2 linked regions of the Astyanax mexicanus genome follow. The protein of the gene in region 1 purifies or fractionates together with the protein of each later gene. This does not show direct contact. Links are inferred from orthologs where the notes say so. Each region holds a gene or a part of one and is shown in the gene's direction. Other genes may lie near its edges.

Region 1 (11,936 bases):
ATTTATTTATTAAGGGAAAAATCTATTTAAACCAATCTGGCCCTATGTGTAAAAGTATTTGCCCCCTAAACCTAATAATTTGCTAGTGTGCTTTGGGTCATTGTCCTGCTGCTGAACCCAAGTATGCCTGAGCTTAAGGTCAGAAACTAATGAACATTCTCCTTCTGGACATTTAAATGCCTTTTAAATCTCATGTCTAGCTGTTTTTCTGATGTTTTTAGAGATGGAGAACATGTCATAAATAATTGTTGACTAATTGACTAGCCGGAAAAATTATTTTCATATTAGTCAACTATCAAAATAATCATTAGTTGCAGCTCTAATACAGAGCAGAATTTATGGTTGCATAAATTAATGTAAGTTGTCCAGGTCCCAGACTTTCATATTACCACCACCATGTTTGACTTTCAGTACAATGGTCTTTTTCTCAGGTAATCTCTGTGTGATATTAAAGTCTAATTGTTAATCTAGACTAGGACTAGGACTAGGACCTTCCTAGCAGTGACCGGCCTACTGAAATGACTCCAAAAGGGCAGGGATAACTCATCCAGGAGGTCCAGGAGGGTAAAGAACTGCAGGTCTCACCTGCCTCAGTTAAGGTGAATGATTTTTGATTACAGACTGTAGTCCTGTATCTGTTTCTCTACATTCTTTATTATTATCCTTCTTTCTAATGTGCTGGTACAAGTGGATCAGCCACAGCAGTGCTGCTGGAGTTTTTAAACATCTCAGCGTCACTTATAGACCGAAACTCACATATATCTCACTTGTTCACCTGGTGAATTGCGGCAGCTGGCCATAGTGATCTGGAACGTCAAAGGGCATGTACAGGAAGTGTCTCAGCTCAGCCACGCCAACATGGCGAACCTGACATGGTTGAGCTTTGGAGATAGACTGCAGAACATTGTTGTTTCTAACCCCCTCTTCGATCTTCCGCTTGCACTCCGCCACGGCGTAGAAAGCCTCCTTATCGGTGGACAGAAGCACGAGGCAGACGCTACACTCTGGAGGGTCCAGGTAGGCGACGTAAGTGTAGAAGTAGCAGTCTGGATTAAAACGAGGAAGGCAGACCGGGGTCCAAATTTCACCCGTCTGGAAGGACGTGGAAGCTCGAATGAGGTTCAGAAGCAGGTGCAGATCACTCGGCTTCAGCCTGGCGTCTTCTATGACCATTTTCTCCTGGACAATGGAGAGGAGCTGACCCTTAGTGACCAGGAGAGACAGGACAAGATTAGGAGTGACTGCTTTCTGCAGGACCTGGTTGAGAACGTCTCTGGAAGACGAAGCCAAAGGCAGGCACTGCACAGCCGAGAGCAGGAAACCAGCCTCAGACTCCATTACATCCAGGAGACCATCTATAACCTTCTCCGAGCCGAACAGCAGCCGGCGGAGGTCGTAGTTCTTCCTGCGCTGGAAAATGCGATTGATGCTGGCCTGGGTGAGCATGCTGACGATCTGATGGTAAACATGCAGGAGCTCAGAGCGAAGCTGCAGCTCAGACTGTCGACTCTTTGATGCGGAAACCAGAACCAGAGGTCCTTTCTGCATAAAGACAATCGTGTGCCCATCTGAAAGAGAGTGATACAAAATCTAGTAACACTTTATTCAGGTGCCTGAATAGAGGCTTTATAATCAATTTATGAGCATTAAATAATGTATTTAGAAATAATAATTTGAATATTTAAATATATTTTATATTTATGAACAGTTTTTACCATCACAATATGACATTGTTGTCAGTACAAGACGAGTTTTTTATTGTTTTTCTTTTCCTTGGCTGGTAACTCTTGAACTTATAAATGAACTTATTCTGTGCAACAGAGGTAACTTTTGGTCTTCCTTTCTTGGAGCGGTCCTGATGAGAGCCAGTTTCATCACAAAGTATTTGATGACTGTCTTTAGGACTGCACTTGAGGAAAATTTAGGATCATTTTTTTCTGAATTTTGCCTGATAACATTCATAGTTAAGTCCCATATTTTTCAGACTATAACACGCACCTTAAAGTCCTTTAAGTCTTTACATTTTCTCCAAAATCATCAATGTGCCTTATTTATAAATTCTACCAGTCAGGTTTTAATTAAGGCGCAGTAAAGCCACTCTACTGAAGTACAGCGTTACTTGGGTAAATTTTCAGTGAAGTTTCTCCAGCACTAAGGCTGAGAGCACCCTGCATTAGCATTAGCCGCTAACCGCAGCAGTGCTAGATCTTTCACCGTCCAGAGGTGAGTATATTGGACTGTAGTCTGCATGTTTACCATGTTAAAACAAGCTACGTGGGACAAACCACTAGTTGATAGCACCCTGGGTTACCTGAACACTTAGGGTTCCTCAGCTTAGCACGGTCGGGTGGCATTCATGTCCCGCTAGCACTGTGGTTAGCGGCTAATGCTAATGCTAATGCTGCTGCACCCAGCCTTAGTGCTGGGGAAACTATTGGAAATCTAAGCTTACAGTAAAGAACAAGATTCTAACAAACTCTTTTTAATACCTATGAATTTAGAAGAAACAGTGAATAAGTAGGTGTCCAATATTTGTTCATATAAATCTGGAGATATTGTAGGATAGGGAAATGAAGCAATTTGACAGAGACCTTCCTGGGAAAATGTAGCTGTGTGTGGGTGAACATTATCCTACTGATATCCTATTCTCGTGTATCACTACTAGGTGTTGACACGTTGTATACAATGTCACTCCAGATAAGGCGGGTTTAAATCACTCACCACAAGGCCAGATGTGGTGTTCAATTGTGTGCCTTTAGTTAAACATTAGGGTGACTTGAGTAATCATCTTAATGAGATTTGTTTATGTGGTTTCTACACAAGGCTTGCATCACTCTATATCTACATTAGCCTCATAGCTCATAGGGTAATAGGAACATATTGTGTAAATGTGCCACATTATTGCTTTGAATGACCACCAGTGGTCTACAGTTCATAATACCAGCTTCTTCTTTTATTCAATATTGTATTCTCCAGTGTCTTTTGGTTTTGCATTGGTGGAAAAGCATTGTATGTGCCTTAGCTACGATGCTACATTAGCGGAGTGGCTGGCGGGTTTTGTTATTCTAAACATACACACCTACCTATTTCAATTGTACTTGGCTGGTGGTGTTTTTTCCTCCATAGACAAATTCTAACCATTTGTTCCTTAGCTCTGCATTACTGGGTAAAGCATATAAACACTGATGTGTTATTCGCACAAATAACCCAGCAACAAACTGCCGAACTGCTGTTCTTAGCGCTGTTAGCTCCTATCTGACGAGGCAGTGCCTCTGCCTGGCTTCAGCTCTGTCTGTGGGCGGTCCCGAGCCAAGGTGGGTGTGGCCATGAATACTAATTAACATATTTTCAGAGTATTTTCTTTTCATGTGCAGCATCATATACAACTCAGAGAGACCTAATGTATTTCACAAAGAACCAGAAAAAGTGGATTTTAGAGTGGATTTTAGCTGAAGGACACCTTAAAAAAGGTGCAAAATATCGTAATATATTAAATTGTATCGCCAATAATACACAGTACTAGTACATACATTTTTTTTTGTATTTTCCATGCATCCTCAAACTTTTTTATGATTTGTGGTATATATAAAACATAAAAAGTTAATAACCCCTTTAATAACATCTCACCTGAGTAAATGGACTGAATGGTGTTTCCTCCAACCTGGACAAAAGACACCAGCGCCATCATGACCCCCATCACTGAAGACAGGGCCTCCTCGCTGCCATGGCGAGAGTAGATGGGCTTCCCTGCTTCGCTCAGCACAAACACATGCTTCCTGCGGCTCCTCCAGCCGTCCGTCATCACCTCCTCATTCTGACTGGTCTGGATTTGGGAAGCTGAGGAGCAGTCGCTCCCGAGACTTGAGGAACTCTCGCTCTGCTTCAGTTCCGTTCCAGATAAAAGCACTGTAAAATCACTAGATTCCTCCAGAGAGGTGTTTTCAGGTAGACCCCCATCAGTTCCCGCACTGTCTCTCTTCAACATGCTGTCCGATTCTCACTTCCCTCCAAACTTCTGCTTTTTTCTACTGTGGAAATGATGTCCCTCTTCCTAAGGAACACTTCTTCCATTGGTGACGGACAATGGATCCCTGTGAGGAGCGCTACAGGTTAATCAGGGATTCCAGGAGGGGTCAGATGTGTTTTATAGACCGTGAATAACGTCCACAGTGCTCAGAGTGCTGCTGGAGATAATAAGATCTATAGTGGTATGTCATCATCAAGGTTTCATCAAAGGCTCTTTTGAAGTTTAGAAACTAGCCCTTTTTATCTGGGTTATCTTAATACAGTATATTATAATCAAGTTTCTCCCATGATGTTATTATTATACTTTTATTATGTTTATATATATTTTACTGTCAGAAACTTTAGTGTTAAATCAGGACAAATATACACTATATTTAGATATGATGTTATACAATATTGTTCTTTTTTATGACACCGAATAAACTGACGCTGGAAAAAACACCATAGACACCTAAGCAACCACCCTAAAAACTGCTATTTAAGACCCTAGCGGCAACAGAACACCCATTCAACAATGCATTACTGACATACTACAGTAGCCCCTTATCAACCACCTGGAACACTGTTGCAACCACCCTGAAAACCACTAACTAAAACCTAGCGGCACCAGAACACCCATTCAGCAATGCATTAGGAACCACCTGACATAATAACACAGCATATTAGCAACCACCTGATCCCCCATTCTGCAACACCTTATCAACCACCTGACATATTGTTAAAACATATTAGTTACCACCTTAGCAGCCATTCTGCAACACTGCAACCTCAGTAACCACCTGAAATACTATAGCAACCGACAAAGCAACCACTGAGAATTAGTTTAGCTACAAAAGAGCATGCATACAGCAACACCCTAGCAACCACCTGGGACAGCAATAACAGTAAAAATGTTTCCAATAGACACATTAACAGTTATAATGCTTAGGTATAATATTTAATTTGTAGTAACTTTACTTTTAAAGTTATTACAGGTTATTAAATAATCATAATAGCTCAGAAAGCAAGAAAGATAATCTAAAAAAAATTGTACTCATGCTGATGATGATGATATGGTGCAGGCAGTCAGGAGACTCGTCCACAGTGTGTTTATTGTGAGTAGAAAGAATGTGCTCAGAACAGCAGTGAATGAAGAACTTCTTGACTGTTCACAATAAAAGTCCCTCCCTAATATTCCCAGCTCAATACTGGGGGGCTTTATACCCCACCTAAACCCCAATAGCTGAGAGCCTAAAGAATGGTCCGGTTTAATACATGCATAATAAAAACTGATATAAGACATAGATAAGATGATAAATAACATTTATCATTGCTATACATATTATTTTCTAAATCCTTGAATGCAAAATACGAAATATTGGATGTAAAATCCCATTATATATATCTTTCCAATTTAAAATGATGAAGAACTAGTTTTGGTATCATTTTTTAAATTTATTTACTTTTGCAAACAGAATCTCAGGGAAAAATTAAACTTTTCTTGATTTTCAATTTTTTGCATTTTGTTAAAAAAAAAAAAATTAGACTATACCATCAGGCATATGTTACATTAAAAATAAAAAGGTTTTTGGGAAAAATAAATGTTTTGTTCATTTTTGCTGAACCTGGCAACCTGGGCATGCTGAATCCCATAAAAATCTCTAAAAAAAAAAAAAAAAAAAAAAACTCTGCTTAAATTAATCCTCTCTTAATTTTCATATTTCTTCATTATTGCATCTTGTTAAAAAAGCAAATTGGATTTTACAATCATAGCAAATCAATATGCAAAATACAATATGCAAAAATGAAAAAAATCTGAAAATTAATATATATTAATGAAATAAAATTTTCCTGAAATTCTGTTTACAAAAGGCAACATTTTTTTAAATGATAAAATAAACTATTCGTTCTGAACATAAGAAAGTTGAGTGGTGTATGGTAATATATATATATATATATATATATATATATATATATATATATATTGTCTTTTCATTCTTCTTAAAAAGTAAATTGGATTATGCCATCGTAACAAATCAATATGCAAAAAAATTTCATTTTATATATTAAAAAAATAAAAAAATAACCATGAAAGATGGATAAAAAAATTTAATCACTATTTTAATTGATAAAAAAAACTATTTGTTCTAAAAATCAGAAAATCGAAAGATTTATGGTAAAATGTTTTGTTTCGTGCTGTCTTCTCATTCTGGAGAGCATTTACGCAAAATGTATATTTTTGATGGACCTGGCAACCTTGACTCGCGCTGATTCGCGCAGCTGTAGTGCACTAGTTAGTGCAGAAGTGCGCGTGTTGGAGCGCAGACCGGGTTTAATGAGAGCGTGAGAGAGGGATCAGTTCTGCTCGCGGTGGATCAGGTGCTTCGGTCTGAGCTGGAGATCATGACCCGGACCCGGGTCCGCTCAGCACGGCTCTGGACTCGGGTTTAACCCGATGAAGAGGATTTAAAGCGGAATATCGACCTGCGGAGCGATGGAAGATCACCTGCTGAAGTTCATCCAGCGGGTCAGGTTCCTGTCTGAGAGCGGCTGCGATGGGGACAATGAGATCACTGCTGAGTACACCGTGAGTACCACCTGAGTACACCCGCTAAACCTGCAGCTGGAAACTGGGATTAAATTCATATAATAAACTAGCTACTAATATAGAGATTATACTGAGAAGTTATTGAGAGATTTCACTAAACATACATTTATTATGTTTCATTCCCAGATAGCAAATATATATTGATCAGTTTGAGGCTACATTTAATTAAAATTAAAATTAAAAGTTGAGTGCAAAAGTTCAATACTTATTTTTAGGTATTTAAATATTTAAATTGTTGAGGAAAAAGTTGTACATCCATATATTTAGCAATTTTTAGTGTTTTCTTCTGCCTTTCTCAAACAGGATTTTATATAAAAATGTCAGATTTAATTTCATTTTTGCATATTGTAAAAAAAATGATAGTGAAATCCAATATACTTTTGTAAAAAAGATGAAAAAAATCAATTTTCCTAAAATCCTGTTTTTAAAGTGTATAAAATGTACACAAACATTTTGTTCATCATTATTTTTAAATGAAAAAAAACATATATACACTGGAAACCTACTGAACACATAAGCACTATGCGTTCATTTGAACTGCATAGGATTAAATTAATATTAATATATCTACCTATATAAAGATTATACTTAGTTACGTCATTGAGAAATTTCATTATACACTACTTCATTATGTCTTTTTGTTATATATAGTTGGAAAATGGGCTGTTACACCGTTTTAGTTACTTTTTTTGTAACTGAAGGGGAAAAAAAGCATTTTTAATGTAGCTAATATTGTTATTTGCTGCATTTGCATCATGTATTCATTTAGGCTATTTAAATAGTTTTAATAAATTTTTATTACTCTTAAATTGTGCAGTTGCATGATTATGCTCTTATAGTATTATTGTAAAGTGGACATGAAACATTTCAGTTTGTACAAGTTTTCTAAGGGATTGAATAAAATGGAATTTATTTTATTGAATGTAATTTTTTTTTTATAAAATGTTTACACACTAAATTAAATCATACTATATTTATGTTTGTTATGTTTGCGCTAGGGCTCCGCCATCTTGCCCGTGCAGCACTGGTGACGTCACGAGGTTGGTTGGTTGGTTGGTTGGTTGAAGAGTCCAGGTACATACAGTAGCTAGCGGTCAGGGTTAGGGAAAAGAGCTTGTTGTTTGTGGAGATTATGAATGAAGACAAAGCTGAACTAGGCTAACGTGGAGCATAGTTAGCGTTAGCTAGTTAGCTAACGTTAGTTACCTCTCGCTGCTCTGCTGGGTGAGCGCGTCGTTTGGCTCGTTTCTTGCGGCTCACAGCTGCTACTTTATAGTAAGGTTACCCTCAGTCAGGTGGTCTGTACATCCCAGCTGTTCAGAGGAAAAAAAATTAAAAATGGAGGTAAAAAGCCTCGGACTTTAGCTTATTTGTCTGGCGAATGACAAACTTCTGACTCAAAACCCTTTCCTCCACATAACAGTCCTCGTCTAGAAAGTGCTCGGAGTCGCTACTAACCCCTAGCATTGCTGCTAACCGGAGGATTCTTGCGCTTCAGGACCGCTAGGCGCCGTTAGCCACCGCCGAAAAACAGCTGTCCGCTTAAGAGACGAGATATGAAAGTGAAAGTGAATCTCTTTCTCACTCTTTAACCTATAACATTTTACTACAACAGAAGTGAGCTAAGTTCCCGAAGGCTAATAGTTTATGTTAGTGAGGCGTCCGAGAACCAACCTCGTGACGTCACTTTCAGCGCTGGGACAAGAGGGCACTACACTTACTTAAAAAATGAGATTTAGATTGCTTTTTATTTTAATTCAGCTTCATTGACAACTGTTAAACTTATACTATTTGTTAGAGTGAAAATACATCTTGTGAATTATATTAAATACTTGAAGTGTTTCATGTCCACATTAAATATAGCATTAAATGCTCATAAATTTACAATAATATAATTTTTGTGCAGTCTGTTGTGCAGTCTATTTCACACTGATTTACAATGATTGATATAACTTGAAACCCCTTGCACTTACACTGTAAGTTGTGTGTGAGGAAGCTGCTGTATGTGCTGTGTACTCAGGTAACACTTTTTGGTTCCCATTCTTGGTCTGGATTCAATTTCATTTTGTTCGGCTTTGTTGACATTGTATTTAAAACCAAAATCATCTATAGAAATAAAACTCAAGGTTCAGTGCTGGGAGATACTGGAGGAAGTAAGATGCTCCATTAGTATTTAAAATGGATGGATGGATGGATGGATGGATGGATGGATGGATGGATAATCGGCCACAATATTCTGTATATTTTAGTGGAAGAAAACACAGGTGCGCCACTGACTGATTAAAACACTGACACGAACACACACATACACGGACACACTGCAGAGCACAAACCGGACCCCTGTTTAACAATAAACAGTATAAAGAATAAAATAACATTGCTGTTCCCTTAAATGAGCTGCTGGCGTATTTTCCCAGGTCAGTATCTGTCTCTGCTGAGACGTGCAAAAACGTCGCACTGTTAAGATTTAACTTTCCCAATATCGTGCAGCCCTACCCTAGCCGAGTCTCAAATGTGCTCCACCAAACAGTTAAGCAGAAGTTGAAGTTAAAGCAGAATGCTTTCTAAGGTTTATAACCTAACTGTACGTCTTTATCTGAACTAAAGTTCAAAAGTAGGAAACTGCGACGTGAAAAAAACTCTTAGTCTAGTGAAAAAAAAAACATTAGCTGTGACTTTTACAGTCTTTTTCAGATCTTCTCCGGTGCGTTGACTGGGGGTAAATGAGGGTACAGCTTCATGTCCTGGTTCCTTATTGAGCCCATAAAAGAATCAGTCGATTATTAACTCAGGGTGATGCTCTGAGACAGACATTACTGTATTAAACTCTGTATGAAGAGAATGAAGGCAGTGCTGCTTAGTGTTGCACTGAGTAAACCATCACCTCAGAACATTTGAATATGTTAACACTGAGTCATGCCAAAAAAAAAGGCCTTCTTTTTTCACGTGAGAGGGACATTTGCATGCACACACAGATCAGAGTGAGAGGGTTATCCATTCATTGGCCTGAATGACTTCCTTTAAAGCTTTCTGACAGCTGTCCAAATATGAAAATAATTTGTCTAAAAATGCAAATGTTGTATTTGTTACCATTACTGTTGTATTTATTTATGTATTTTTCCTATACAGACAAAATTGTCGTCAGTTGTTTGGACTTTCTTGACTTTTTGGACTATATGCCCATCTATCTGTCTGTCTATCTGTCTGTCTATCTGTCTGTCTGTCTGCCTATCTATCTATCTATCTATCTATCTATCTGTCTGTCTGTCTGTCTGTCTGTCTGTCTGTCTGTCTGTCTGTCTGTCTGTCTGTCTGTCTGTCTGCCCTCTTGCAGCATTAACAGCAAGCTGATTGGCTCTGTGCTGAAAGGTGTGAGTAAGGGGTGGGCGATATGGCCCTAAAATAATATCACAATATTTCATAGTATTTTTTTCGTGATAATGATATTCTTGGCGATATGACAGAACAGTAAAAAAGTTAAAGAAAATTTTTCAAAGAAAAAAAAAATTAATTAAATTTTACTATTGTATTATTGCATACAATATGAAATAATATGGCACACCCCTAACTGAGATTAAAAAAAATACAAAACAATAATTTTATCAGATTTGTAACAGAAGTCCATAATACTAATAATATATCTCCATATATCCAGAATTAAAGTAAAATAAATGATACTGATGGGAAATGAAAACAGTGTGATTTTTTTTTTTTTTTGCTAAAAACAGTAGAAAAGTAGTAGTAGTACCCTGATGTGATGACTAGGGGTGGGTGATATGATGGGTGGCACGATATTTCAGGGTATAATATTGTTCACGATATTCAAAAATGTTGGGTCACAGGCACTCAGATTTGCCATTTCAAAAACGCTCAAAACGCTCAAAAGAGCTTTAAATTCGTCGCTTAACTCAAAAATTGACAGAATAAAGAATAAAACAACATTGCTGTTCCCTTAAATGAGCTGCTGAAGGTCAGTATCCTCTGCTGAGACGCACAAAAGCGCCATTAAAAATCACATAAAATGTGATTGTGACGTCCCTATCTAGCGCTATGATAAATTATTGTAAAAGTAAATGAGCTAATGCACTATTTTTGCATGTGTTATTGCTAAACTCTAAAGGAAGGTGTTAATTTCAGGCACGTGAGTCTCCTCACTCATGCTTTTAATCTGAATCTATTGTGGTTTTGTGGTGATTAAGGGCTGCATCTGCTGCGCACTGTTTAAAGAATGCACTGGTTAATGTTCACCACAGCTCAAACAGACCCACGGCTCCGTCCCTTTATACTGTGTTTAAGCCACGTTCAGACGACATCTGGCCCAGTTTCTGCCTGCCTACAGGAAGTGCCTGCGCCACCGGTGAGCGTTAAACAAGCTTCCACAACCTCTGAGGTAACACACGGCCAGCAACTCGCAATCCAGGCTAAAACTGAAAGCGGCGCCGCTGCACTGAGTGCTGCTGATCTCTTCTCCTTTTGCAGCAAGGAAGTAAGAACAGCACTGCGGCTTTCATTGTGACACATACAGAGCCAGCAAATCCTCTACATGCTACGGCTTTAGTGTAGCACCGCTTAGCATCGCATCTCTATGGCCACGCTGTGAAAACAGATTGATGCACTGAATCTGATTAAAGGAGAACCCCGGTGTAAAATATGGTGTTTTAAAACATGTTAAAAAGTAGCGTTCTGAGATCCAGAAATTTTAATTGTCCAAAACACCCTTCAGACTGGGTGAAATGGGGCATAATGTACCCTGATAAATCACTTTTTCCACTGTTATCCAGCTCTAAGTAACTCCCCACTTCCTTGCTAGAATCCGGAGAGGAATGACATTTAAAACGAGGCATTAATAATTTTAAAAGTGCTCAAGAAGCTTATTAAAAACACTGTTTACATCCTATAACACTATAGCTTCAGCTCTGAGCGCCGCCATCTTTGTATTGATGATAATGTTATAGACGTTAAAGGAGAACTCCGGTGTAAAATTGACTTTTGGTGTAACTTAATAAAACATGATAAATACTCAATACTCACCTTTGATTAAATAGCACACCTCCGCTCTCCCACAGCGTTCAGAGATCCAGAAATTTTAACAGTTTGTACAAACACCCTTCAGACTGGGTGATACGGAGCATAATTTACCCTGATATATCACTTTTTACACCGTTACCCAGGTATCTCAAAGTAGCTCCACACCTTCTTGCCAGAATTTGGAGAGCCCTGTCATTTAAAACGAGGCATTAATAACTTAAAAGTGCTCAAGAAGCTTATTAAAAAACACTGTTTACATCCTATAACACTATAGCTTCTAATGTTATATATATAT
Region 2 (12,534 bases), on another chromosome or scaffold:
CATCTTACGGTTATTAACGCAGCCGCTCGCGCTCAGTACCTGCTGCCCTCACTGCAGGTGTTACATGTGCTGCAGATGAGAGCGCGCGCTGCTCAACGGCCTATATTAGCGTAATTGCACTATATAGTCAAATGTAGGGAGAGTTTTTTTGCGTCGACACGCCCACAATCTGCCCAAGTGATTTGAACGTTGGGTATACGTTGGCTGCTCACTTGGAAAAAAAGGTTCTATATAGTGAGGAAATACGTCTTTGTTGGACCATACAGAAATATTACAACTGTCTTTGTAATTATAGATTCATATAACCAGTTAAACCAGTTATGCACTCATATTTACTTTATATAACATTTTAATGAGATCAAATTAACATGAAGTCAGCGAGAGTGTCTACCTGTAATAAACTCTATAATATTACAATTTATAAACTCAAATAAACATAAAGTCAATGAAAAATCAGTGAGAGTGTGTACCTGTAATTAACTCTATATAACATTTGAATTTATAAAGCCAAATAAACATAAATTCAGTGGAAAGTCAGTGAGAGTGTCTACGTGTAATTAACTCTAAATAAAATTACAGTACAAAACCCAAATAAACATAAAGTCAGTGGTCAGTGAGAGTATCTACATGTAATTAACTCTATATTACATTAGAACACTAAACCAGAATACACATAAATTCAGTGGAATATCAGTGAGTGTCTACCTGTAATTAACTATATATAACAATAGAATTTATAAACCCAAATAAACATAAAGTCAGTGAGAGTGTCTACCTGTAATTAACTCTCTATAACATTAGAATTAATAAACTCAAATAAACATAAGGTCATTCTAAAGTCAGTGAGTGTCTACCTGTAATTAACTCTATATAACATTAGAATTAGTAAACTCAAATAAACATAAGGTCATTCTAAAGTCAGTGAGAGTGTCTACATGTAATTAACTCTATATAACTATAGAATTTCTAAACCCAAATAAACATAAAGTCAGTAAAAAGTCAGTGAGAGTATCTACCTGTAATTAACTCTATATAACATTATAATACTAAACCTAAATACACATAAAGTCAGTGGAAAGTCAGTGAGCGCTTCTACATGTAATTAACTCTATATAACATTAGATTATTTAAACTCAAATAAACATAAAGTAATTGGGAAGTCAGTAAGAGTGTCTACTTTTAATTAACTCTATGTAACATTAGAATCTATTAACCCAAATAAACATAAAGTCAGTGGAAAGTCAGTGAGAGTATCTAATGTAATTAACCCTAAATAACATTAGAATTTCTAAAGCCAAATAAGCACAAAGTCATTTTAAAGTCAGTGAGAGTGTCCACCTGTAACTATCTCTATATAACATTAGAATTAATAAATTCAAATAAACATAAAGTTTTTAAAGTCAGTGAGAGTGTCTACATGTAATTAACTCTATATAATATTAGAATTTCTAAACCCAAATAAACATAAAGTCAGTAAAATCAGTGAGAGTGTCTACCTGTAATTAGCTCTAAATGACATTATAATACTAAACCTAAATACACATAAAGTCAGTGGAAAGTCAGTGAGAGTGTCTATGTGTAATTAATTCTATATAACATTAGATTATTTAAACTCAAATAAACATAAAGTAATTGGGAAGTCAGTAAGAGTGTCTACTTTTAATTAACTCTATGTAACATTAGAATCTATTAACCCAAATAAACATAAAGTCAGTGGAAAGTCAGTGAGAGTATCTAATGTAATGTCTATGTGTAATTAATTCTATATAACATTACAGTACACAACTCAAATAAACATAAAGTCAGTGGTCAGTGAGAGTGTCTACCTGTGATAAACATCTATATAACATTAGAAAAAAGCTAAAGCCAAATAAACATCATTATAGTCATTGTAAAGTCAGTGAGAGTTTCTACCTGTAACTATCTCTATATAACATTAGAATTAATAAACTCAAATAAACATAAAGTCATTCTAAAGTCAGTGGGAGTGTCTACATGTAATTAACTCTATATAACAGTATATAACTATAATAACTCTTATATAACTACATTTCAAACAGTGCATTGGTATATGGTAAAGTCTTTCGGTTGGTAAAGTTTTAGAGAGAATCTGATGCACACCTTTGTTTCACAAACCAATCAGTGTGAAGGATAAAGAGACTCCGCCCCTACGTAGGTGATGATGAGAGGATGTAGCAGGTTGACAGTGTTTTACAGTGATGTTTATATTATCTTGTCTCTCCAGAAAATGCCTAAATCAAAGGAAGTGCTGTCCTCCTCCTCCAACAGCGACTCGGACAGTGAAGCCGATACGAAGGTACGTCGCTGATGATCTGTAGCATCAGTGGATCAATAATCTGATCACTTCTGATTGGTTGTTTGTTCGTTTTATCGGTTTCAGGCTAAGAGGAAGAGGCAGGCGACGCCGGAGAAATCCTCCAAGAAGCAGAAGAGTGGAGAGTCCTCCAAAACCTCCGGCTCCTCCAAAAGCAGCGGCGGCAGCAAAAACGACAACATGTTCCAGGTCAGGAGTCTTCATTACTGCATTACATTACTGTTATATTGTAATTGTAATTACTAGAGCTGTCAAACAATTAAATGATTACTTATTTAATTGTTTATTTTAATTGTTTTATTTGTTTAAATTTGACTAATAGAGTATAGATATTTTCTGATTCGATTCAGGCAAAATTAAACAAAATTAAACTAGATACACAGTGTCAGTCAAAAGTTTGGACACATCTTCTTATTAAATTTTTTTTATTGTTCTTCCTACATAGTAAATGAATAGTAAAGTCATCCATACTACTATCTGGGGAGCTGTTAATTTGCTGGTAACTCTAATGAACTTATCCTGTACAACAGAGGTACTTCCTGCTCTTACTTTCCAGGGGCGGTCTTGATGAGTGCCAGTTTCATCCTTATAACGTTTTTGATGGTCTCTGCGACTGTACTTAAGAACACTTTTAAAGTTCTTAAAATGTTTAGAACATTACTTAAATAGAGCTATTCACTGTATACTAACTGTGCCTCTTCACAACTTTACAACTGATGCATAAAGCTGACTGAGAAAATGCAGAGATGTAAAGAATGTAAAATATAAAACATATTCTGGTTTATTTAACACTTTTTTGCTTTAATAAAAAAATGTATATGTTTTTCTTTATAGTTTGGATGACTTTAGTATTAATTTGCAATGCAAAAAATTAAAAGTAAATTAAGCAGTGCCCAAATGTTTAACTGGTACTGTATAATCATAGGTGATGACAGAGACCCCCCATATATTTAAATAATTAAATTTAAACAGAAAATAAATAAATAAATAAAACAAAAAATATATTAAGAATAAAAAAAAAAACAGAATAAAACAATACAGAGTTTATAGTCCCTAATTTTTACACAGTTTCTCTGCTTCTTTTAATGAAGTTCGAATCAGAAATAATGAATATTCCTTAGTTATTATTATCATCATCATCATTAACAGCTAAAATATAAAACTGGTCCTGTCACACTTGTCTATTTTCTCTAAGATAGGGAAGATGAGATACGTGAGTGTCCGAGACTTCAAAGGGAAGGTGCTGATTGATATCCGTGAGTACTGGATGGATCAGGAAGGAGAAATGAAGCCGGGGAGGAAAGGTATCTGACCTGTTACTCTTTACTAACCACCTGTCGAGGATGTTTCTTTTATTTGGAAAGGAGAATTAAGTATTTTGCTTAAAATAGCCTAAAGTGGTCTAGCGGTCTAAAGCGCTGCCATTATGATCGGGAGATCGCCGGTTTGAATCCCAGTCATGCAACTTGCCATAAGCTGCTGGATCCTTGAGAGAGCACAATTGTTCTTGCTCTCTCTCTTGGTGGGCATAGTAGATGGAGCTCTTTCTCCTCATCACTCCTAGGGTGATGTGGATCAGCACAAAGCACAAGCGTCTGTGAGCTGATGTATCAGAACTGAGTCGCTGCGCTTTCCTCAGAGCATTAGCGCTGTGATGATGCTACTCGGTAATGCTGAAATAAGCAGCAGTTTAAAAAGAGGCGGAGTCTGACTTCACATGTGTTCACCCTCCTGGTGTTGTGGCATCACTATTAATGGGTAGATACAGCTGAATAGCAGCTGAATGGTGGGAAAATTGACCTAGCTAAATTGGAGGACAATTTGAAAGTATAAATAACCTAGAAAAGTAGAAATAATTAATAAAAAAAGCCTAAAAAACTTAACTGTATGTAAGTATTTATGTGTAAGTTTTTCTTCAGTAAGGCCAATTTATTCTTCATCACTAAGTTAACTTGCTGCCTAAGGTGTAGCCTGTGTGAGCGCCCTACGTAGCTGTCTGCTTCCTCAGTTTAAACCACGAAGACTAGAATGTGTGGGCTGTTCAGATGTATAAATTGGCCTTTAAGCACTAAAGACACTGTACTACTGCTACTGTGAGCTGATTGGCTGGTTGGTGAGCTGATGCTGGAGTTACAATCAGAGCACGGATTTTAAAAGCTTTATTACTAGGAGTTTTAAAGCTTTAAGAATTTTAGAAACCTTTTATTTTGTTCTGTGTTGAGGGATGAGTACAATATTTTAGTTTAAAATTATTAAACATTTATAAACTGTAAAAATGTTGCTCCATTGTGCCATATGAACCCATTTATTTTTAGACTTACCCAAGAGCGACCTCTGGTGGTCAAACAGGTCTGTAAGAGACCCTGAAGTGAGTCTTATCCTGTTGTCCAAAAGCATTTAAAAAATAAGGGTACCACTTTAAAATAAGACTACCTTTATAGGGTTTATAAATGGTTTAGAATTAGTTTATTAATATTTACTAATTAGGTTGCAAATGCCTTAAAAATCCTTAATAATCAGTTATAACACATATACGTAGAAAGGGCAACAATGACCTGTTGTTTGCCAAAAAGTGAACCCACAGCCATCTTCAATGTTGCCCTTTCTACGTATGTGTTATAACTGATTAATAATGATTTTTAAGGTATTTACAACCTAATTAGTAACCATTAATAAATTAATTGTAAACCATTTATACACCCTTTATAAAGGTAGTCTTATTTTAAAGTGGTACCAAAATAAATGCATTAAAAAAAACATTAAAAATGCTAAACATTTAATGCTCATCAGATTTTGTACTCGTCTTTTATATTGGGGAATTTTGTGCAGTTTTGATATTTAATTTTATTTGATCTTTTATACATGTAGTTTTCATGTTCCTTCATTTCCTAAAAATGCTCTTAAATTCACTTTGCATGCATATGTTTGTTTAAATTCTGTAATAATTATAAGAAAATATGGGTCCTGGACTAAGACCAGTTTAAAAACCCTGTATTAGAGTTTCTCTAGAGTTTCCCAACAAATGCAGGATAAACTCTTTTTAATACCCTTTGATTTCAGAAGTACTAGTGATCGAGCAGCTGTCCCAGTATTATAGTAATTTGTTGGATCTGTCTGTGTGTCTGTCTGTTCTCAGGTATTTCCCTGAACCCAGAGCAGTGGAATCAGCTGAAGGAGCAGATTGATGATATCGATGAAGCCGTGAGGAGAACATAAACACTCCGGGAGCCGACGCCGCTGTCTGATCTATTCATTCCCGCTCCGCGCTTTACCCACGTTTTATATAAAACAGATTAATAATAATCCATGGAGAGTTCTAGAACTGATCTGTACCTGTGTTTTAGATTAGGCCGATCGCTGTGTTGAGTTTACTGTTCCTTTTCTTTTCTACTGACCGCGGTCCTCATAACTCCGTAATGATTTTGTGGATGAGTGTGTTTGTGGGGGGTGGGGGTGGGGGGAATAGCCTGTGTTCACTTTTTACAATAAAGTTGATGGAAAGTTAAAAATAATCACCAGTGCTTCAGTGTTTGTGTACTTACTGAATTAGAGTAAGGGAAAGTTTTGGGTGTGTCCCAAATCAATCTTTGTTCCCTTCACACTTTCTTCAGGTAGTTTTTTTAAATTATACTATTTTAAGAAACTACTAATAATTCCATTTCCTTACTATGTTCCTCACAGTGGAAACTGACAGGTTAAATCTCTGAGACAGCTTTTTGTATCCTTCCCCTGAACAACTATGTTGAACAATCTTTGTTTTTAGATCATTTGAGAGTTGTTTTGATGAGCCCATGATGCCACTCTTCAGAGGAGATTCAAATAGGAGAACAACTTGCAATTGGTCACCTTAAATACCTTTTCTCATGATTGGATACACCTGGCTATGAAGTTAAAAACTCAATGAGGTTACCAAACCAATTTTGTGCTTCAGTAAGTCAGTAAAAAGTAGTTAGGAGTATTCAAACCAATAAAATGATAAGGGTGCCCATACTTTTGCACCGGTCAAATTTTGGTTTAATGCATATTGCACATTTTCTGTTAGTACAATAAACTTCATTTTAATCCTGAAATATTACTGTGTCCATCAGTTATTAGATATATCAAACTGAAATGGCTGTTGCAAACACCCAAATTTTTACAACTAAAAATGATTAAGATTAATAGGGGTGCCCAAACTTTTTCATATGACTGTAAACATAATACCATCTCTTGCAGTGTGACAAAAAGCAAATCAATAATTTTGAGTATATGTATGTATAAATGCTCATTGGTATTTAAATTGTGGGGAACTGACACCAGTAAATCCATAATTCCTGCTATTTACTTACTTAGAAGTATCTTGTTTCTCAGTGGCATAGTCACTGTGAAGGGTGGGGAATAGTTTTGTGATATATTTATTATCGCTGAATCGCAGTTTTGAGATATCGCTGTTATCATTAATTTACCACAGCTGAAAGGTGCTGGAAAAACTTAAAATGGGCCTTGAAAATGCTTAAATTTTACATTGTAAAGGGTGTATGAACCATGAATATTGTATTTTGCTATACAAAAGAATCCATTTGATCAGGGTCCCGGAAAAAAAAAAAAAACATTGCTTAGGGCCCCAGAACTTCCAAATCCGCCCCTGCCCACAGTAAATGTGTGCAGCAATCAAAGCTTAAAGGCACTCCAACCAAATACTAGACCAGGGGTGTCCAAACTTTTTTTTGGGGGGCCAGAGGGGGCCGCTTTTAGACTCTTTGGCCCGTTTTTCTGCGCTAGAAATGCGCACCCTCTCCGCTTTTAGACTCTTTGGCCCGTTTTTCTGCGCTAGAAATGCGCTCCCTCTCCGCTTTTAGACTCTTTGCCCCGTTTTTCTGCGCTAGAAATGTGCACTCTCTCCGCTTTTAGACTCTTTGGCCCATTTCTGACACCTAGCGTTCAAACTTTGAATCTCACATTATAAAAACCTGCTTAACAGCGGGCCAACTTTCATTCTATTTCTAAAATACCTCTCGGGCCGCTCCAAAAAAGGAAACGGGCCGCAAATGGCCCGCGGGCCGTAGTTTCGACACCCCTGTACTAGAGTGTGTGACTTTTTTTTTGGTGACAATTTTTTTTAAGCCAGGCTGTGTGCAAAAAAAAAATATGCCAAATTGAGATCTATCTTTTGGTCTTTCCTCCAAAACAGTTCCAGATTATCATATGGCCACACTTGGGAAAAAATTGCCCCAGACTGAAGTGCACTAGGTAGGGCACTAGGCCTCAGTTTGAGACACACCCTTAGTATGAGCTGCATTGGCAGACTTCAGCCAGCAGGTGGTGGAAAGGTGCAGCAGCGTACAGTCAGAAGTGAGAAACAGCGCCACCTGAGGCCACATTAACTTCTGTATAACGTGTAACAGTAGCAGCAGGAGCAGCAGTAGTCAGTCCAGCAGTCTGCTCCAGCCTCTCACACAGCTCACATCTACCGGCTCCAGCACCATGAGAGACCTTCACTTTAAAGACAACTTCTGGGTAAGAACTTTATCCACCATTTACTCACTATTTACTGCTTACAACCTCTTTATTATTTAATATAATCAACATACAGTGCTGTAAACTAGTTAAACAGGCTGCCTGTATCTTAGAGGAACCTCGGCATATTATTAAAATACTTATATATACTTAATTAGTAATAGATATATCCACTTTATTATAATCTGAGAACTTTTATCTACAGTTTTTTCTGCTTTTCACAGTATAGAGCTGTTTTTCAAGGGAACTTCCTCCCTATACATAACAGCAAAACCTTTTTGTGGTCGCTTTCCTCAAACCAACTGTCATAATCTTATTTCACAAAAGAGGTGGTTGTTTTTTAATGTATATATGAAACCAGTTATTATTTTTTTATTATTTAAAAATGTTCTGCTTTCAAACTATTGAAAAAAACATATGAAATTAATTAGTATACAAATTAAAAAGTGGTAACCAAACCAGAATATGTTGAATATTTTACATTCTTCAAAAAGTAGCACCTCTTGCTTAGATAGAGACAGTTTTGCACATCTCTGCTGGATTTTCTCAGTCAGTTTTATGAGGTAGAGTCAACTGGAATTCAGGCTTTCAGTTAACAGCTGTGCTGAACTCATCAAGAGATAATTCCTTGAATTTCTTGTCTCTTAATAAAGTGTTTGAGAGCATCAGTTGTAAAGTTGTGAAGAGGTGGAGTTACAGGTATACAGTGAATAGCTCTATTTGAGTAATGTTCTAATCCAGATTATGAGAAGCAGAATTAAAGAAATAATTAAAGAATTAAGAAAGAAGTTAGTCAATTTCAAAGCCAAAACGTTTCAAATTTTGTGCAGTTCCAGCAAAGACCATAAAAATACTTATAATGATAATAATAATGGGGACCACCCCAGGAAAGCAAGAGCAAGAGTTCCCTCTGTTGCACAGGATAAATTTATCAGAGTTACCAGCATCAGAAACTAAAACATTGTTTTTACACATATAGAGGAATAATAATAACTTTCACTTTTAAGATCATTGAATTTTGGCGTTTCAATTATTATTCATTTAGCTCTGATCTCAAAAACATCAAGCTATTTACGCCTCTATGTCCAAGAATTCTCTGTCCATCCTGTCATCAGACATTTGTTAGAGGTAAAAAATACAGGAAAGGGTATTTTTATGTAGAACACTGCTATGCAAAATTAACATTTAATTTGTGTAAACTTGACAGATTATTATTGTAATTTAGCAGTGATTTCAATCACTGTAAATTAATTTACATTTTTTTTCAGTAGAGTTATTTACTTATCGTCTGTAATTTTAACAGGAAAACTCTGGTAACCACAGCTGCCAGCGTTTTCCTGTAAAAACTACAGTTTTTTTTTTACAGTGTAGGAATAACCCTGCCCCTTTAAGAAACTAACCTTTGACATCAGTGACATCACAAATAATATTTATACTGTTTTATTCTATTTTCAAAGGACTGAAGACACTTGCTGCTGCTTGTTTAGCAGTAATTGACAATAATTTACAGTAATTTTATGTAATATTTCTCATATTGTCTCCATACTTACAGTAGTTTAAACATGTAAAGTTTAGGCTTAAGTTTAGGTCCTTCATGTCCCAGTAAAATATCATTGTTGGCTAAAAAAAAATCCTTCAAGACGGTTAGCTTAGCTTATTTTAGGACATGCTAGCCTAACTTATTAGTGCCAGTTCCACCGTTAAAATCTATAACAAACAGTGTAATTAACTTTCTAACTAATTAATGTATGTATGTAAGCTATTAATTGTTGGTCAGTAGAACGTTTTCTGAACAATGCAGTTAGCTAACATTCTTAGAATGTTATAGTAAATCTGTCAAGTTTTCTGGATGTTCTTAGATTTTTTATGTGTTTAAATGTTCTGGTAACATCACTTTTAACGTTTTTACTTTTAACGTTTCCTTAAAGTTAGCATTCGACCAGCTGGGATTACTATTATTATGTCAAGCATTTAGAACATTTTTTGGAACATTATCTCTGTATTTTTACAGTTTATTTGTCTTGAAACCTTTTCAAAACGTTTCTAAACAATCTTGTAAGTTGTTCTTGTTCTTTGAATGAATTGACTTCTTGGAGGAACTTCAAATGGATTATTAGTAACGGATAACTTAGCTAGCTAACTAATTAGTGCCAGTTCCACCATTAGAATCTATTAAAAATACCTTAATTAACTAATTAACTGACTGTCTAACTAATAAATGTATCTTGTAATTGAATACTATTCTTAACAGCAAATTATCAGCTGACATGACCTGTGAGAAGATCAGAAATGAATTATCATAACAGGTAGTTTAGATACTACTACTAGTTTAGATACAACTACTAACTAATTAGTTCCAGTTTTACCGTTATAATCTATAATAAAAAGCTTAATTAACTAATGAACTAACTGTCAAACTATTTAATGTATCTTGGAATTAAATACTATTCTTAACAACAAATTAACAGCTCACATGACCTGTGAGAAGATCTGAAATTGATTATTAGTAACTATAATAATATTAAAATTCCTTAAACATTTTTTTATTAAAAGTGCAAGTCAGTGGAGTTAAGTTTGGTCTAAAGCTCAGACAGTCCAGGCTTCATTATGTTGCTTTCTAATGTTTTGGAAAGTGCTATTAGTCTGTCTAAACCTTTATTTTGACACATGGCTAATGCTGGCTGTGGCTGCAGGCCTGTGATTATGTGTCTGGCTGCAGGCATGAATTACAGCGCTGCTAGAAGCTGCTGTGGATAATGATAGCCAAACCTACAGGCTGGAGTAGGAGAACTTGGCTAAACTGTAGTGTTTAGACTGCTGTACAGTGGCTATTTCCACAGCGCTGTAGTAATTTAACACCTAATCTAGCGGGCCGCTGTGTCTGGGAGGATATTGTGAATTATTTACTTAGTAAGGGCCTATTAAAAGCAAAATTCCTTGCTTTGTCTAAACATTAATGAGTGTAATGTTGTTTAAAAAATATGCTCAATTCATATGGATGTATGGATATTTTTTAAACTTTAATGCATATTTTTTATAAGGCAACAAAAACCCAAAAAACAGTGTAATAACTGTATCCACATACTCAGTTTAGCCTCACGTACCTACTCACTAATGCTGTTATATGATGCTTAAGTTGTAAGGAGTGTTTCAGCACATGTTTTGTATATACGTTGTGTGGAGTTATCTTGTGAGTGAGCTGTAAAGGCAACATGAATTATATAAGTAACCACTGGTTAAAATATATTACAAGGAGTTCCTGTAAGGTCAGTCAATCCAAAAACATGTCAAATTTTAACTTAGAAAGTATCTTCAAGTGCAGTTGCCACAAAGATCATGAAAAATGTTATAATGATGAAACTGGCACTCATCAGGACTGCTCCAGGAAAGCAAGAGCAAAAGCAATTAAAGGACCAATGCATAAAATGAATTAAAGGACCAACCACTGGCTGAAATATTACTAGGAGTTCTCGTATGGCTTAACCCAAGGATAAAGTCCCGCCTTTCAACAAAAAGAGCCAATCTGCTTGCTGCTTACTCTGCGACTGGAGATCAGTCTGTATGCTAGTAAGCACCTCCTCAGTGAGGAGATATGCGCAAGTGCAGTAGCCAGAATAAGAAGCCGAATAATCACGTTCTGTGCATTTTATAGCCAAATGCTAGTCTAATGCTACAAACTGTTAATGATGTTATATTAGATTTTATCAGTGATGTAAAATATGTTTTTAAAATTATAATCTTATCTGTGGTTTGGAGTATTTTGATCTCTTCCAATTTTAACATATTGGGAGGCTGGTCTTGGGTTACTCATAGGGCCCTTACTCTTACCCATACAATTTAGCTCCGCCCACTTAACTGAAGTTACAAGGACTGTTTCACAAAGGATAAATGAGTGTTTTTTTAGTTTATAAACCCATAAAAACACCAACACCTAGGACATTTAGGATATTGGCTCTTTAAATCTATGATTTAAAATATTTTTAGTTCGTAAAACACATTAGAAAATGTGTTAAAAGTGGACCTTGTGGTATAAAATACATACAATTGAGAAAAAAATATAGGCTAAGGACCCTTTAATGGTGTGTCAGTATGGCAGTATGTGCTGATGTATTGATTATTAATGATCTGCCGTGTTTGTAAAAGGAGTTTGAGTCCAAAGTTCACTAAAAATATCTTTATTTTCTTCCTTATGTGGACAGAGCAGTGAAATCACCAGCACAGCAGGATACGACGCCATCATCCAGCACCTGAACGATGGGAAAAAGACGTGCAAAGAGATCGAGGACTTCATGAAAGCCAGGTGAGAACCAGCATCATTAATAGTCATCAATCAATAATCATGTAAAAAATGAGCATTTACCACTGCAGTTCCAAAGGTTTACTAAATCAGGGCTAATTATTATGAATTATATTAGTAAATTGTATGCATAAAAATAGACCAGAAAATAGACGTTTATTGATAGTGTACCTTATAATCTGGTTCACCGCATAGTGCGAAAAATTCACTAATCTACAGTTACAGTAGATACATAATTAGGGCTGCACAGTATAGGGAAAAATCTGCGCTGAGCACTCAAAACCTGAGAAAAAGAGCAAAACAACAGTAATCAGCCCTTTAATCAGCCATTTAAATGGCTTTTTAAAAGGTAAAAAAGTGCGTTTTTCTGGGATTAAAAGTGTGAATTCAGCTATAACAGGAAATA

What was found.
Region 2: the proteins of ptpn18 (region 1) and pstpip2 purify together in Homo sapiens (affinity purification with mass spectrometry; 4 studies listed by BioGRID and IntAct, with this or other methods). This does not show direct contact. The link is inferred for Astyanax mexicanus from reciprocal best matches to the Homo sapiens genes PTPN18 and PSTPIP2.

The regions. Positions count from the first base shown.
Region 1 is NC_064419.1:3,030,526-3,042,461, forward strand, and holds the start of ptpn18 (tyrosine-protein phosphatase non-receptor type 18), read left to right. Parts: upstream 1-6,317; 5' UTR 6,318-6,499; coding exon 6,500-6,592; intron 6,593-11,936. Other genes in the region: mon1ba (vacuolar fusion protein MON1 homolog B), read right to left, coding at 776-1,568, 3,628-3,985. UniProt on the Homo sapiens protein: Differentially dephosphorylate autophosphorylated tyrosine kinases which are known to be overexpressed in tumor tissues.
Region 2 is NC_064427.1:20,971,123-20,983,656, reverse strand, and holds the start of pstpip2 (proline-serine-threonine phosphatase-interacting protein 2), read left to right. Parts: upstream 1-7,716; 5' UTR 7,717-7,798; coding exon 7,799-7,831; intron 7,832-9,298; exon of another isoform or gene 9,299-9,340; intron 9,341-12,030; coding exon 12,031-12,131; intron 12,132-12,534. Other genes in the region: sub1a (SUB1 regulator of transcription a), read left to right, coding at 2,249-2,317, 2,402-2,524, 3,531-3,639, 5,472-5,551. UniProt on the Homo sapiens protein: Binds to F-actin. May be involved in regulation of the actin cytoskeleton.